Notamacropus eugenii: one gene and its partner. The protein of the gene in region 2 interacts with the protein of the main gene of each other region in a biochemical or structural test. Links are inferred from orthologs where the notes say so. Each region holds a gene or a part of one and is shown on either strand. Other genes may lie near its edges.

Region 1 (7,272 bases), on a different chromosome or scaffold from region 2:
ATTGGCAGTAAACAGTGATTGAAGATGACCTTGTTAAGTATTCTTCTACCTCTAATTATCTGTATTTCCTTAAACTTTCTAAATTATAGGTTTTTAGTCATAACCCAAATAAGTTAGTTCTTAACTATTTTAATAAAGAGCTCTGATTTATACAAAAAGTATCATTGAATGCAAAAGTAGGCTAACTTAGATCTCTCAGTTAACCAAACCTATGGAAAGTCTACCTCTTTGGACACACAGTCAACACCCAAGTCCATCCTGTGTCACTTGACCTCAATTGTACGTCAAGTATTTTAAAGAAAATTCAGTCTTGTTAAATATAACCCTTACAAACTCAAAGTCAAATTTGCTGACTACAAACGGCACAATAACCCATTCTAATATTCAACAATTCTCCCAGTCAGCTTAGTTTTCCTTTCTATAACCCAAATCTGTCATTTCTGTAGCTCAAGTCAATTTCCTTCTCCTATTCTGTCCTTGTGAGAAATGCTGGACTGCTGCTTATCATTTCCTTCTAAGAAGCTACCTTCATTTAGCTGACCTTACAGGTCTTATTTTTAACCTTACAGTCATTTTTGTAGCTCTTAGGGACATGGTAGACTATAGTGGAGGGGGAAAAAAATTACCTCCATTTCCTGCTGGACACACAAACTATATCTTCTGAAATTGGTAAAGAAATCCAAATTATGTCATGTCAACATATATTGTCGGAGAAAAAACCTTGCACAGCTTTTCCTTATGTATTTCACTGGGTTTTTTTGTTTGGTTTTTGTTTTGAAGAAACTGTGTTAGGAAAGGGAAATGGGGAGAAGGAGGAGGAGAGAGAGGGAAAAGAAAGGAAGGAGGGAAGAAACAGAAGGAAAGGAAGAAGGGGGAGGAAGTTTAACTTCTACACCCAGCAGGCTAACCGAAAACATCACAGCATACCTGCCCTGAGACACCCAGTCCTCTGCAATCACTCACCAGCTTCTAAGAGTGCAGAGAAGATATGCAGGGAATGGCATTCATGATGGTTTGTGATATGACTAGTGGTTATAAAATAAGCATAAGGCATCTGGGAAAATGCAAAAGATAAGAAGTTTGGAGCTGGGATCATTTAAGATTCCAGGGAGGATTGTCTGAAAAGTCAAATCCCTCCTGCACTGGCCAATCATCAGAGAAATGGGGACACTGCCTAATGAAGTTTTAACATGGACAATAAATGAGACAAATACAAAAGAAAAACTGTGGATTTTAAGGTCACAAAAGGTCAATGAGTTAAGTACAAGACCTGCTTCATACAAAGGGGCCAGCTGATTTTTGCAGATAATTTCCACTTCAGCTGCTAAATAATAATGTAATAGCTAACATTTTGTAGTACTTACTATGTACCAGACACTGTACTAAGTACATAGTACTTAAAATACTATGTGTACTTTATATAATATATATTATAAATATTATCTCACTGGATCCTCACGACAACCCTGGGAGGCCGGTGCTATCCTTATCCCCATTTTACAGATGAGGAAACTGAGGCAAACAGAGCTTAAGTGACTTGCCCTGGGTTCCACAGCTAGTAAGTGTCTGAGGCTGGATTTGAACTTAGGTCTGCCTTACTTTAGGTCTAGTAAGCACTCTATCTATTGTACCACCTGAAGTGAGAGATGACTGAGAGTTTTGAATGGGATGCTGGGGACTGGGGGTGGGAGGGAGGAAGGAGACATGGCTTTCCATGAAGACCATAGTGACCAGTAACATTGCCTGTTTATTCTTGCCCTTATCATATTCTGATGAAGAATACGGCGTCTGGTTTCCAGTAGAGATGCTAAGAATATGAATGAGCCAGCACCCTCCCCTGAGCCACCAAGGCATCATATGCAATGAGGGAAAGAAAAGCAGGAGCCATTTTCCTCCTGAATAACGTCTTCATGATAAGAAATGTATAATGGTCCCATATTGGGCACTATGTCATCTCAGAATCAAAACCACTTTGTAAGTATTATCATAATCCCTGACAGGGAGTAAACCTCAGAGCAAAAGATGCCCTCTCGAAGAACAAGGCTAAGTTGATCTGGGAACCACAAGAGAGGAAAGGAGAAGGAATAGGAGTAGGAAGAAGAGGGGTAAGAGGAGGGAGAAAAGGAGAAGGAGGAGGAGAAGAAGGATCCAGAATTATCCAATACCAGACCAGCCTCAACAGTGCACCATCCTCTGAAAAGCCTCATATCCCATGCTTTGGGCTGCACATTGAAACAACACAAACTATAACACAGGAGGTGTCATGGGTGCATCTCTGGAAGCCTCTGGGCTGCTAAGGCGAGGTGGGGGCAAGGGAGGATTGCCAGGCTGAGCAAACCCATCCCTCCTCTTGCCATAGGAGGCAGTTCCAGACATAGCAGGGTCTGGCATCCTGTCAAGGATTTCGAGGGCAAGTCAGCATCATTTCTAGGGAGCAGCACGTAATTAAACTCACTTGTCCAGGAGAGGCAGTTGGCAGGCTCAGACTGGGGACCCACCAATGTTTCTCTGAGTGGGTGCGCAAATTCACTGAAGGAGGTACTGCTTCAGTAGGCAGGGGGCAGAAGGCTCTAGGGGGGGCCGCTGAGTCAAACGCCCCAGCCATACCAGTACAGTTTAACCTAAACCCCTCTCCTGCAAACCAAATCCATTTCTTCCTCTTAGTCTGTCCTCACAGGAAATGAAGAACAGCGGCTCATCAGGAAATGCAGGGAGGTTGGATTCTTAGTAAATCAGAAGCTTGGGTGGGGTTTAAGTGGCGTCCAAAGAAAATTCAGAGATCATCTACAAAACTCAGGGTGCATGCTTCCTCTCCTTAGCAGATGGTCCCAGATCTTTTCTTTGGCCCGACCATTGTTACGATTTCTCCTAACTTCTTTCTGTTGCAATGTCTGAGAAGCAAGTGTTTCTCCATCTTTTAAATACCTGCTCCATCTCCATTTCCACCTCCAGGAGTCTAAGACATTTCTGGCTTGAGGTTAGAGAACTCCAGCTCAGATCAGTACATTGCCTGTTTCAAGGGGAAGGCAATCAAAACTCTTCTTTTCCAGTTGTTACCATTTCTTTCCCCCTCCCTCTCCTCCCAATAGCTGGAATGGCAAAATCCAGATGTTTCCCCTCCTCTAATGTGACTCTCCATCAAACATCATCAATAAAATTGCACTCAAACTCTTACAATCTTTCCCATGGTGAATAAATCATCATTTGGAAGGCGTTTCCCACTACCTTGCATAGATGTAGTACAGGATCTCAAAGCACTTTGTCTAAAAGCATTCTTAGGTCCATGGAACCTGTGTAAGATGAGTAAAGTGAGTAAAAGTAGACTCAGCATTGGTATTTACAGTATCACAAGTTTTGAGCTAGAAGTTATCATAGGGGCTATCTAGTTCAATCCTCTCATTTTGTGGATGAAGAAACCTTAAAGATCTAAAGAGGCAAGATAAGTTGTTCGAGTTCACCCAGGTAGTGATATGGCAAAAGTGAATTTGAACCCAGGTCTTCTGACTCCAAAACTAACATTTTTTTTTCATTGACTATCACTGTCTCCCAAGAAACAACAACTCCAAGAGTTTAACCAAACAGAAAGAATAACTGCAAGGATTTGATCCATCACTGATGGGTATTTGGTTTGGGTCCCCTAAATAGCCCATCTGAGCCTGAGGCTTGCCACTGAACCTAGTATACCAGAGGAAAGCCAGAAACAGCAACCCTGAGCCTCAGCTCGTCACCGACAGCCAGGCCCACACAACTCCCACCCCAAAGACTGAAGAAAGACTTCAGGGTTCTTTTCAATGCCTGTCTCCAAAGAGGAAGGTGCAGCTGCCTGATAACTGGACTCATGCAAACCCTACTTTTCAAGAAGGCATTTCCTTAAACATAAACTGCCTTGCACACATTGACAATATTTTTGTTTCCAAATGTCGCTAACAAGTCACCATGGATACTTCAGTCAGCTCAGAGAGAAAACACCCAGGAAGACGTTTTAATGGCAAAAGAACACCAATTAATCTTAATATTCTACTATCAAATATGCTGCTTCCCTCTTCTCTCTCTCTCTTTCTCCCTTCTTCTCTGTCTACTCACTTTCTCCTCTCCCTTTCTCTTTCCTCTCTCTTCTTTCTTCTTTGTCTCTCTCCATCTCTCTATATATGTCTCTTCTTCTCTCTCTCTCTCTCTCTCTCTCTCTCTCTCTCTCTCTCTCTTCCTCCCTCTCTCCCTCCCTCCCTCTCCCTCTCCTTCTCCCCTCCATCTTCCTCTCCCCCTCTTCCTTTCTTCACTATCCTAGAATCATCATAATCCTCCCATAGCCAGAAAACCCGCACTTCACTAACAGATCAATTCCCGATATGTAATACTAGCAGGTGGAGGCTTCAGCAACGTGGGGGGATCCTGCTGCTCACCCACAACATAAAGTTAAGAAAAAATGCAATTTACCTCCCAAGCCAAGAAGCATATGGTCCATTGCCCTTGTTCCAGCTTGGCCTGATGAACTCCTGCTAAAGCCAATCCTGGGCACAGGCAGCCCAGCGTATGACCCTCAAGAGGGAAACAAATTGTCCGTCACCCTTTCCAGCAACCCAGCTTTTCCTGGGCATGGCAAAAATACACAGTACGTTCCCAGCACTTTGAGATTTCAAAGAACCCAGCAATCACTCATTAACTCATCCACCCAACATCCTGCACAGTTGGACGCTCCTGGACCACTTTCAATTTTGGTTGAAATGTTTTTTCCCAAGCAAAGTGTTTTGCTATCATAAACAGGCTTTCTTTTTTCTGGTGGGACTGACCTGACTGTTTTAGGCCATAGGGATGAGGTCAAAGACTTCAATGGTCTCAAACTAGTGAGGCGGAAAACAGTGACTACAATATAAGCAAAATGCACGTCTCATTTAGTGACAGAACAAAAAGGTTCTAGAGATGTTAACTGGCATCCAAGACCACTCAGCAAGTCAATTGGTAGGGTAGTTTGACACAAGCCTTGAGCCCTTTCTCTCACAAAACCAGTCCTAGAGGCAAGACCCTCTTGCTTCCCTCAATCTAGAAGTCACATATTTTTTTTTTTTACTAAGTTCCATATCTTCCCTCATTTCCTACCTCTCACCCATAATGCCCTTCTCTTTACCAACTAAAATCCTATTGGTCCATCAAGGGTCTACTCAAGCACAATTTCCTCTTGTGAAATGTTCCTTGATTACTTCAACACACAGTGACAGCTCTGTCCTCTGAACTTCTTTGACAATGATTATCTGTCTACACATGCCCAGTGCAGAGTAGATGCTGAATTATCACTTGCCGATGAGAGGTAACATGACACTGTACAAAGAGTAATGCATGTAACATCAGGAGATGTTTCAGTTCAAATTCCCACTCTGATGCTTAGTAGCACTGTGACCCTGGATAAGTCACTCATCCTTTGAGACTCCATTTTGTCATGTGAAAAAGGAGAATCATAATTTTTCTGCCTAGCTCAGAGTCGGCATCAAGAAAATGTTTTGTAAAGCTTAAAGCCCTAGAGAACTGTGAATTACTGATATTAATATTAAAGATAAACTGAGCATTAGCACAGCTCCGATTGCCTGGGATTACAGAGCCTGTTAGTGGCTTATCATCTGATGCCACTGGTTCAGACACAGGGAAGTGGGGCTACACCACCAGAACTCCTTCCCATCCCGCCTCATTCATTAATACAGAGTCCACCCAGTCCAAACTCTCCATCTTACAAATGAGAAAACTGAGGAACGGGGAGGTTAAACAACTTGCCCAAGATCATTCAAATAGCAAACACTGAACCCGAATCCTCTGACTTCAGAGTTCCAATTTTCTTTCCATCACCTTCAGATAGGACCCTATAGCAACAGAATCTGCTAGGTGGGAAGCCTGGGGCAGGCAGAGTCTGCTGTTGCTTGTGATCCACCCATCCCCCTTCCAGGAGTACAATGAATATGATAAAATAGATAGAAAAGAAATACATCTCCACCTACAAATTTTCATTTGTAATGTTTTTTATTAAGGCTTGATGGAAGAAGATGAAATAATTGTCTTGCAAGCAGTTTGAGGATTGGGCATGAACTTTATTTGATCTTTTCTCAGCCTTCATCATGGGTAATTGAGAGCTGAGTTTGCTTATGTTAATGTGGCTCATGCTTTCTTTGTGGTATATTATGATCCATGATTTTATAAGTTTTAAACTGAAAAATCCCAATGGCCATAGATGACTTTAGCAGTTGTGTGAAATGAGCTCTGGATTTGGAATCAGAAGGGGACCTGGGTTCAAATACTGACTCACTATCCATGTGATTATGGATAAGTCAAAGTCTTCCTCAGCCTCAGTTTCCTTATCTGCAAAATTAAAGCATTGGTCTAGAGCAGTGGTCTATGGCATTGATGTCAAACCCAAATGGAAAGGGGGCCTCTAAACCATACATAAGGATGTGTGGCACATTATCTATGTTCCAATTGTATTTATTTAATTTGCTAAATATTTCCCAATTACATTTTAATCCAGTTCCCATGTGCCAGCCATGACACAGCCAGTCTGAGGGTTTCATATTTGATTCCTTTGGTCTATGTGACGTTATGCAGTAAGGACTTACTAAATGCTTGTTGATTGGTCTCCAAATTTCTTTCCAGCTTTAGATTCTGTGTCTATACAGAGTGTCTCACTTTGTCTTTGTATCTCTAACAACCAGCACAGTACCCAGTATATGGTGGTGATTTAAAAATGCTTTTAGATTGAGAGGTTTTTAACTTTTTTTCCTTTTGGAGATTTTTTAAAATATCCCAGACCTTTCCTAATATCCTCCCTTTCTTCTGTACCCCCAGTTCCCCACAGAACCTTTCCTGGGTTTTAAAAAAGAAAAAGTTAAACACCATCTAACAACATTCACAACCCTTCAAAGGGTTCTCCCATAGCATCCCATGCACTTAATGGTGGCCACAAGTATGATGGCAATGATGCTCAATGACCTTAAGTCCCTGTTAGATTGGGAAAATCAAACAAAGCAAATTGATGTGCACTTGCATTTGGGTTAGGTAGCGTACAGGCAGACATTTTCTGACTGACAGAGACCAAAATATTCATAGCAGTGCTTTTATGGCAGCAAAGAAGTAGAAACAATGTAAGATTCATTGGAAATGATTAAATACACTGAAGTACTTGAATATCATGGAATATTGCTCAGCCACAGGAAACTACAAAAATAAAAGATTCAGAGAAACACAGGAAGATTTTAAAAAATTATTTTTCTTTTTTTATTATGAACTTGACAACTA
Region 2 (7,950 bases):
ATCACTTCAAAGACTTTTACAGCATCATCATTTATAATTGCAAAATATTTAAAAGCAGTCTAAATTTCCAACAATAACATAATGGTTAAACAAATTATAGTATACTTGATAAAATTCACTGATTTTATTAAAAAAACACATAAGGAATATAAAAAAATCTAGAAAGACCTTTATAAAATACAATACAAAAAGGGGTGGGAAAAGGCAGAACCAGAATTAATCAATCAATGAGCATTTAAGTGCCTACTATATGTCAGGCAATGGGGTTACAAAGGCCAAAAAAATAAAATGAAATAATTCCTTACTTTGAAGAGCTTACATTCTATGGGGGAAACAATCTCTACGGATACATAAGTAAATACAAAAGACCTCATGTTGGAGGTGGTGCTTGAATTGAGTTTTGATGGAAACTAGGGATCTTAAAGATGAGGAAGGAGTGCATTCCAGGCAATAGTTTGGCGTGTGTGTGTGTGTGTGTGTGTGTGTGTGTGTGTGTGTGTTGTGAAATGAACCTCAAAAAGGGCTTCAAATTCCCAAAAAATTAATTCTAGATGAAATAGGACCAAAATCCCATTACGAACATATAAAAAGTAAATGACAAGTGAAAAAGAAACTGATGGAGACTAAGGGGAGAAGTGACATATTACATATTAAAATTTATTTGAATGCAAATAGTTGCAAAGTAAATTCAATGATTTATATTGATATTTAATATTCAGCTTAAAATAGAGCATTAAAGATAAAATCAAAGACTCTTTTTTTATGTCAGGAAGAAGCTTGGGATTGTTGAAATGTTGCACTTTCTTAAAGCAACGCAGCTTGCTCTCTTCCTACCATTCAACTCTGGGCCCAACTCAGTTTCCAGCTGCAGTGCTTGACCCAGACATGATATACTGACTCAGTGAACTGTTTGTTGTTCCAACAAATGCTGGACATCAGTCAGCATTTTTCATCCATTTAGTTTTTTTCCTCTAGGGATTGTTAGGTTGATCTCTTTTGTATAATCATGGATCTCACTGAGAAGGCCTTGTAATGTTCTCATGTTAGATTCAATCAGCACAATGTCATTCACAAAGATTATCTGGAATACCTTACAGTCTGTGGAGAATTCTTCTTTCATTTGGATCCTACATAGAACAACATCCACAAGAGAGAAAAAAAAAACATCTCTGGCAAGAACAAGTTTTCTTGCATGATACTTTGATAAACTTCAATAACCAGAGTGCCATTGACTATATTTTGCTAGGTCAACTACTTTTTTGGAATCAAATATATACAATAGGATCTTATGTTTCCTTGTAACCTTTAGTCTGCTATTCAATTTCCAAGATGTGGACTGTGGAAGAAAATCATTTGTGAAAGCCTGAGTGTTCCTTTTATGTATTTTCTTGAAGCATGCTCTTGGTAAGGAACATATATCTGTATCTATATGTCATTCTCATGAAGGTTTTATGAGAAATATAAGCAAAAGAGCTTGTCTTCTCTATTTTCTTCTTTGGTGGTATTAACATTGTTTTTTCCCTATTATTTTGGTGTTCTCCTTTTCCAGAGATGGATGTTTAAAATTAATTCAATGCTTCCAACATTGTGTTACCTCCAGTAAGTATATCATGAATGTATATTTCAGCTGCTCTGGCAATTCTTTAAGGGCCATTTCTATTTTCTTGGATAAAGATCTGGGACCAAGGTATTGGGGATTACATGTGGTGGTTCCTCTTGTACTACAGATAAAAATGGAAAAAAGAAAAAACACAAAGAGTGCTAAAGGAAACTGTCAGGAGGACAACAAACAGGTTATACTTTTGCAGGAAATGATGATAGTCAAGATTCGTACCTTTGCCTTTTTCTTTTCCATTTTTTGGCACTAATAGCTTGTTTGATTTTGTCAGGTCAAAATAAGTGCAATTGCACTCTTATTTTAGCAAAAAAGTGGTATACCAAAGAATAATTATCTAATACAAATGCACCCTTACTTTTGGAGAGGGAAATGGCAAACCATTCCAGTGTCTTTGCCAAGAAAACCCCAAATAGGGTCATGAAGAGTCAGACTTGATTGACTTGATTGACAATAAGCCCCTACTTTACAAAGTAGCTGCACTCTTGAAAAGTTGAGCATAAACTGAACTTTTGTAAAGTTAATATTATTTTAAAATATATCAGCCCAGTATAATCTAAAAGGATCCCCGAAGTGAAGTTGTGAGCATGGCAAAGAATTATATTGTAATCCAAACTATTACTAATTTATCTGTTAAATAAGCCTAATTGAAACAAACAATGTTAGTTTTTCTTTAAGTGGGGCAGTAGCTAGAGTTCTGTAGGTTTATCAAAGAGAACCATTTTTACCATAGTTATAGTAAAATAAATGTATATTGAGCTGTAGCATATTACAGAATTAAATTAGTTATATTTTATTCAATTTTAATTATTACAAACAGCATATGCAATATAAAATCCTAATGAAATTCATCATTTTGGAAAAGTATATAATTCTACAATGAAAATAATTTGTTTTTGTTTCTTCTGCTTCCCATTCAGCCCCAGAAATGGAGAAAATGAAATCATTGCTGCTCTATCTGCATTAATAAAAATACCTTGCATTCATAAGCTGTTACAATCAAACCTTATATAGCACTGGCATGTCGTATGCTCATCAATGTATTACTTTTCCTGTGGGTTCATTTATAAAGTTTGAATTTTACTTATTCTGTCTTTCAACAGAAGCATGGTTAGTTATCCCTTTCCAAAGCAGGCAGACCAAATTCCCATGATGGTAAGGCAAGAAAACACTGAACCCACTGACTTGTTGCTCCCTACCCAGCACTGGATACGTACAAGTCACTCCACAAACAATTGTACAAATGTTCACTTGCCATCTGGGATTGTCTGACCCTGAACAAAGATGTCAACTAGGTTTGGATTTTATCACACATATTACGGAGCCTGAAAACACAGTCACCCTATTAATGAGCTAATGCATAATATTTATGATTAGACCAGGGACACTACTGTATAATGCTTCCAAACTTTTTTTTAAAAAATCTAATAGCAAAACACATTATCTAATTTAAGATTCATAACAGAAGCAAGAGACTTTCCTCTCTCAATGAAATATTTCTAAATACTTCAAATTTCTAGATATTCCAAAAACACAATCATTTTTCACAAAATTGTCTTTAAAACAGCAGGTTCTTTAATAAAAATGTAACCTGGATATTGATAGCTTAAAAAAACCTTTTATCTTTAATAAAATAAATATCATTAGAAAACTAATGGTTATATTCCATTGCAATAATATAATAATTATTTCCTGTGAAATTCATTAGTTGTCCTTGCTTTAACTGGGTCCATTTTCCTTTTTTTAGACTTAGAAAAATAACATTTATTTCCATTTTACAGATTGGGAAACAGGAACAGGGTGACTATGTCATAAAGCAAAGCAGTAAGGGAGGCAGGATTAAAACCTAAGATGCACATGCTCACTCCAGTTACCTGAAACCAGGTTCACACTTAAGTTTAAGGAATATTAAACTCCCTAAAAATTGTTGACCAGAATTTTGATTCCATCCTCTCTCCCCTTGATTATGATACAAATATGAAAAAGCATGAGGCATTAAAGTTGCACATTATACCTTTACCCAGAAGCCAATCTCCTACTTACTATAGATATTGTCTGTCAAACTTGGATTGTTTTGTTGCTCTATTATGGGCAGAAGCTTAATAAATTCCATTTGATACTAAAGGAGAGATGAGAAGTTGTGGGCTAGGTTAAAATGTGTTTTAAATTCCAGTCCTTATTGTACTCACTGTAAAATGTAACTCACCACACTGACTTTTTCCTTGCCATTTTTGTTTTCCTTTAAAGGAAAAATACTCCTGAAAAATATCTCCCGGTTGGGGCCTGAATTTCAAACATCGACTTTGAAGTGAGATCTTCAGGGGGTGAGATAAATATGCAGAAAAGGAATTCCTGAGTAACACAAGATTCAGGGGATTTTGCATATGGGGGAAGAGGGAAGGATGGGAAAACAGACTCACCCGCATTAGCTGATGCTGCATTTAGGTCAAAGGGCGTAGTTTCAGGGGCCCGTTTCCCAAACCAAGGACAAGTGCATGCAGTACTTGTTTCTGAGGTCACCTTCAGGGACAGGTAAATTATATGGGTTTGGGGGTGGGGTAGGGTGTCTTCGGTACCACGGACAAGGCCTGTCAAGGGGGAAGCAAGAAATCAGGGGAAGAAAGGGAAGGGAAGGCCCACCCAATCCACGTCTAAGATACGGAATGAGGGAATCCCCCCGGCTCAAATCCTCCCACTCCTCCTCCTACCCGGGTGGTTCTAGGCAAATCACTGGGACCTTCCGGGCTCTCAGTTTTCTCAAAAGTAAAATGAAGGGGCTGGACTAGGTGGCCCCCGAAGTCCTTTTTGGATCTAGATCTAGGATACTCTGGCTCCTCGTAACCCACCCCCAGGGTCCCCACCCCCGAAGCCGGACACCTTCGTTCTCCCCACCCTCTCCACCTTTTCTAGCCGCTCTCGCTCTTAACAGCATCGGTCTCTATGGCGACCTGAAACCCCGAATTCCATTGGCCCGTTCAATATGAGGGCCGGGCCAATAGGGTGGGACAGCCTTTTCCTGCCGTCCAATGAAAGCGGGTGCGGAGCAGGTCGGGGGACGGCGGCGTGCTGACGTTCCCGGGAGCCCTAGGCTGGCTGGCTGGCTGACTGACTGACTGACTGGGCGGTGGGGGCTGCTTGGCGGAGCTCGGCAGCACCCAGGCACCGGGGCTGATTCCGTGCTGTCGCCGAGGAAGGTGGCACCATGGGCACCGGGTAGAGGGGGAAGTTGGCCGCCGCCGCCGCCTCCCGGGGGTGGGGTGGGAGAAGTGTTGCAGGGGAGGGGGCGGGCGGGCGGGAGGGGGTTCAGCGGGGGGGTTCGGGGGAAGGGGAGGGAAGCTCCCTTGGCCCTGGCACTTTTTTTTTGGGTGCCGCAGCCGCGACCCCTCCGCGCGGATGTCCCCGATTCCCGGAGCGTCGGCAGCCGCTTCCTAACCTGGAAAGTAAGTGTGCGGCAGGCGGGGAGGGCGCCGAACCTTATCCCCACCCCCCACTCCGTGGCCCTTCACTTCCCGACTCCTGGTACTGTTCCCTCGGCTCACCCCGCAAACCTCGGGATCGGGGCGAGGGTGGGGGAGGGTGTGGGAAGGGGAGACTCCCGTTACAACCGCCCCCACCCACCTACTTCTCTCCTTTCCTGCCCCGCCTCGTGTTCCTGCCTGCACTCGCCTTCTCCCCTCCCCCCCACCCCCCAAGGCACTGAAGTTTCCACCTCCATTTGCTTTTCCCAGGATTTTTCCCCCTTCCCTTCTGCTTACCTCTCTACCTTCCTGGACTGTGTATATATTTATACTCTCCGGTCTCTCCCTGGTCTGTGGCTTTCAGATTCCGCCCTTCCCCACCAACCTCCTCTCCCTCCTCCTCCCCTCCGACTAATCCTTCCCTGCAAATCTGCCCTTGCTCCTTTCCCTCTCCTGTCCCTTCTGGCTTTATGCCCCGTACTTTGGCTTCTTCTTCCTCTTCCCCATACCCTCTTTCATTCTGCCCTCACCTTCGTTTCTCTTCCCCACTCCCCCACTCCTTCTTCTCTAGTAAAACCTCCTGTTCATCTGATTTGCCCTAAATTCTCCATCTCCTACAAGCCTTTAAACCCCTGTCCTCTTCCCACCAGTCTTAACTGAATTCTGGAGAACTGGTTAGATCTTCCACTTTGCTTTGCGCTTTTCCTTTCTTTGAACACCTCTTCTCCGCCTCCCCTACCCCAATTCCAGCGTGGAGGTCTGTCTTGCACCCCTCACCCCTTCTTGGTCATCTTCCACACACCCTTATTCTCTCCGTGAGTGTTGCTTTAGCCCCTTTCCCCCTGATCCGCACTCCTGCATGTACTCCTCAGTTCACTTCTCTACCAGTCTTCTTTTGCCTCCTGCACATCTTTTCTCCCCCGATCCCCCAGGCTCCCCAACATGTTACGCGCAGGAGTTGAAATAACGTTTCCTCGGCCGTTGGGCGGCTGTCTCGGAGCAGCTTTTTGCCACTAGCCTCCTTTGCCCGGGCAGGGAGGGGGATTTGGCTCGGATTTAGCTGCGTGTTGGCGGAGTGCGACAAGCCGCCGAGTGCGGCTCTGAAACCGTGGTTGTAGCCGCTTAGGGCTGATGAATAGGCAGGTGTGTGTGTGCCTGGAGGAGACGCGCGCTGTTTGTTCCTCGGGCGGTAGATTGTGTAGGAATGTGAGGAATGCTTTGGGGGCAGAGTATGCACACCCTGCCGCTGCCGCCGCTCCCTGCTCAGCTCTCTCCATTAGCCAGAGGTCACTGGAGCATCTTCTCGGGAGCTGGTGAGGCTCTTACTTTTCTCCGCCTCCTTCCCTCTCTCCTTGCGGCAGAGCGGGCACTGGGGAAGTGTGACAAGCAGATCTGCCTGCCGTCAGCCTGGCAGGCAGTATTCGTGCTTCGGCTCGGTTTTGCGGCATTTTTCTTCAGGAGGATGAATTGGGGGGAGGGGGAAAAAGACTCCCACTTAACAAGGTCATTGGTCGTTGAATCTTCTCAAGTTTGGTTTGCAGTGTTTCATGAGTGTCTGATTTTTGTGTGCCACTGGGTTCTCAGAGAAGCAGAAGGTGGATGTTTTTAGGATGGTGCTGTTGCAAACAACATGGTTAGCCGTTTTAATAATGTCTGTTAGTGCTTGTGAAGGGAGACATAATCTGAAGATTTGTGGACCTCAGATGTCATGAGATTTGTAATTTTTGATCCTGCCATGCTGCTTTAGAATCCCATATAATGCATAATGAATAGAAACAGAGAGGCAGTGTTTGACCAGAGATGGGACAGATAGAACTGTCTGGTACAGTTAAATTAGGGGCTTGTCAATTACCTTTTGAAATAGCAGAGAAATACAATGAGATATAACAATCACAGACATGTCTATTCCAAGATTTATATTTATTAAGAAAGGTCATGTTTCTGGTTTTGTAATTATCCCAGTCCTTTTAGGAGAAGGGGAAGAGGAAAAGAGAATAACTTTTAAGCATGGTGGCTCAATTGAATAAAATGAAAAATTATTGGTATGTTTTTTAAGTGAAAAGTTGATTTTTTTTCTTAACATGAAGGAAACAAGTTGAAGAATGCTTTTGATATATTTTTAAAGAGAGGAGAATTTTTTCGTTTGCAATATTTTACATTCTCTTTCATTTGGCTATGTGACTTGTCTTTTTGGTGACACTTTTAGTAACAAGGTCACAGATGATTTTGTACAAGTACATTAAACAAAATTTGTTGGAAGCTTTCCTTTCTGGTGTTGTAGAGAAACCTTAATGGAAACAAACAAAATTATTGTCTGGGGGGAAGGAACGAAAAGTAAAAGTGATTATGTATGTTGCTTTGAGAGACCTACTGTGTGTGCTTTATATGGGACACATTTTGCTTTTGAGAATGTTATCTATAAACTCCTCCGAAAATTTTGGATCAGACTCAGGAAAATGATAAATTTATTTGCCAAATTAAGATATTTTTCTGTGATCACTTGGCTTGTATTGAGCCATGAAGAGTATAGCATGAAACTTTTGTATGAAAACTGGACAAGGCAAAATAGAAAACAAAAACTTAGAGAAAATTACACCTTACCACTGAAGCTTTCTTATACCTATGTTTACAGTTGATGAACATTCTAAATTAAGGGTCTGCTTGATATCTATCATTGTAAAGGACATAGATTTTTGTAATTGTAGCAGCAAACTTTTATTATGTAACATTTTAGAACCAGTGACAGTACAAGGTAAATTATATTGTTATTTGATTTGAAATTCATTCTAAAGGATAGAGAACAGGTTGTTTCCTTGCTGTATTCTCTGTTGCAAATTGAAATAGCTATATATATACTGTATACATGTTTTAGGTAGA

What was found. The genes of interacting proteins can lie anywhere in the genome.
Region 1: the proteins of PKP4 (region 2) and PDZD2 form a complex in vitro, tested with the Homo sapiens proteins (2 studies listed by BioGRID and IntAct, with this or other methods). The link is inferred for Notamacropus eugenii from reciprocal best matches to the Homo sapiens genes PKP4 and PDZD2.

Annotation. Positions count from the first base shown.
Region 1 is NC_092875.1:429,261,925-429,269,196, reverse strand, and holds the start of PDZD2 (PDZ domain-containing protein 2), read right to left. Parts: upstream 3,085-7,272; 5' UTR 1-3,084.
Region 2 is NC_092876.1:217,432,572-217,440,521, forward strand, and holds the start of PKP4 (plakophilin-4), read left to right. Parts: upstream 1-4,950; 5' UTR 4,951-5,055; intron 5,056-5,257; exon of another isoform or gene 5,258-7,950. UniProt on the Homo sapiens protein: Plays a role as a regulator of Rho activity during cytokinesis. May play a role in junctional plaques.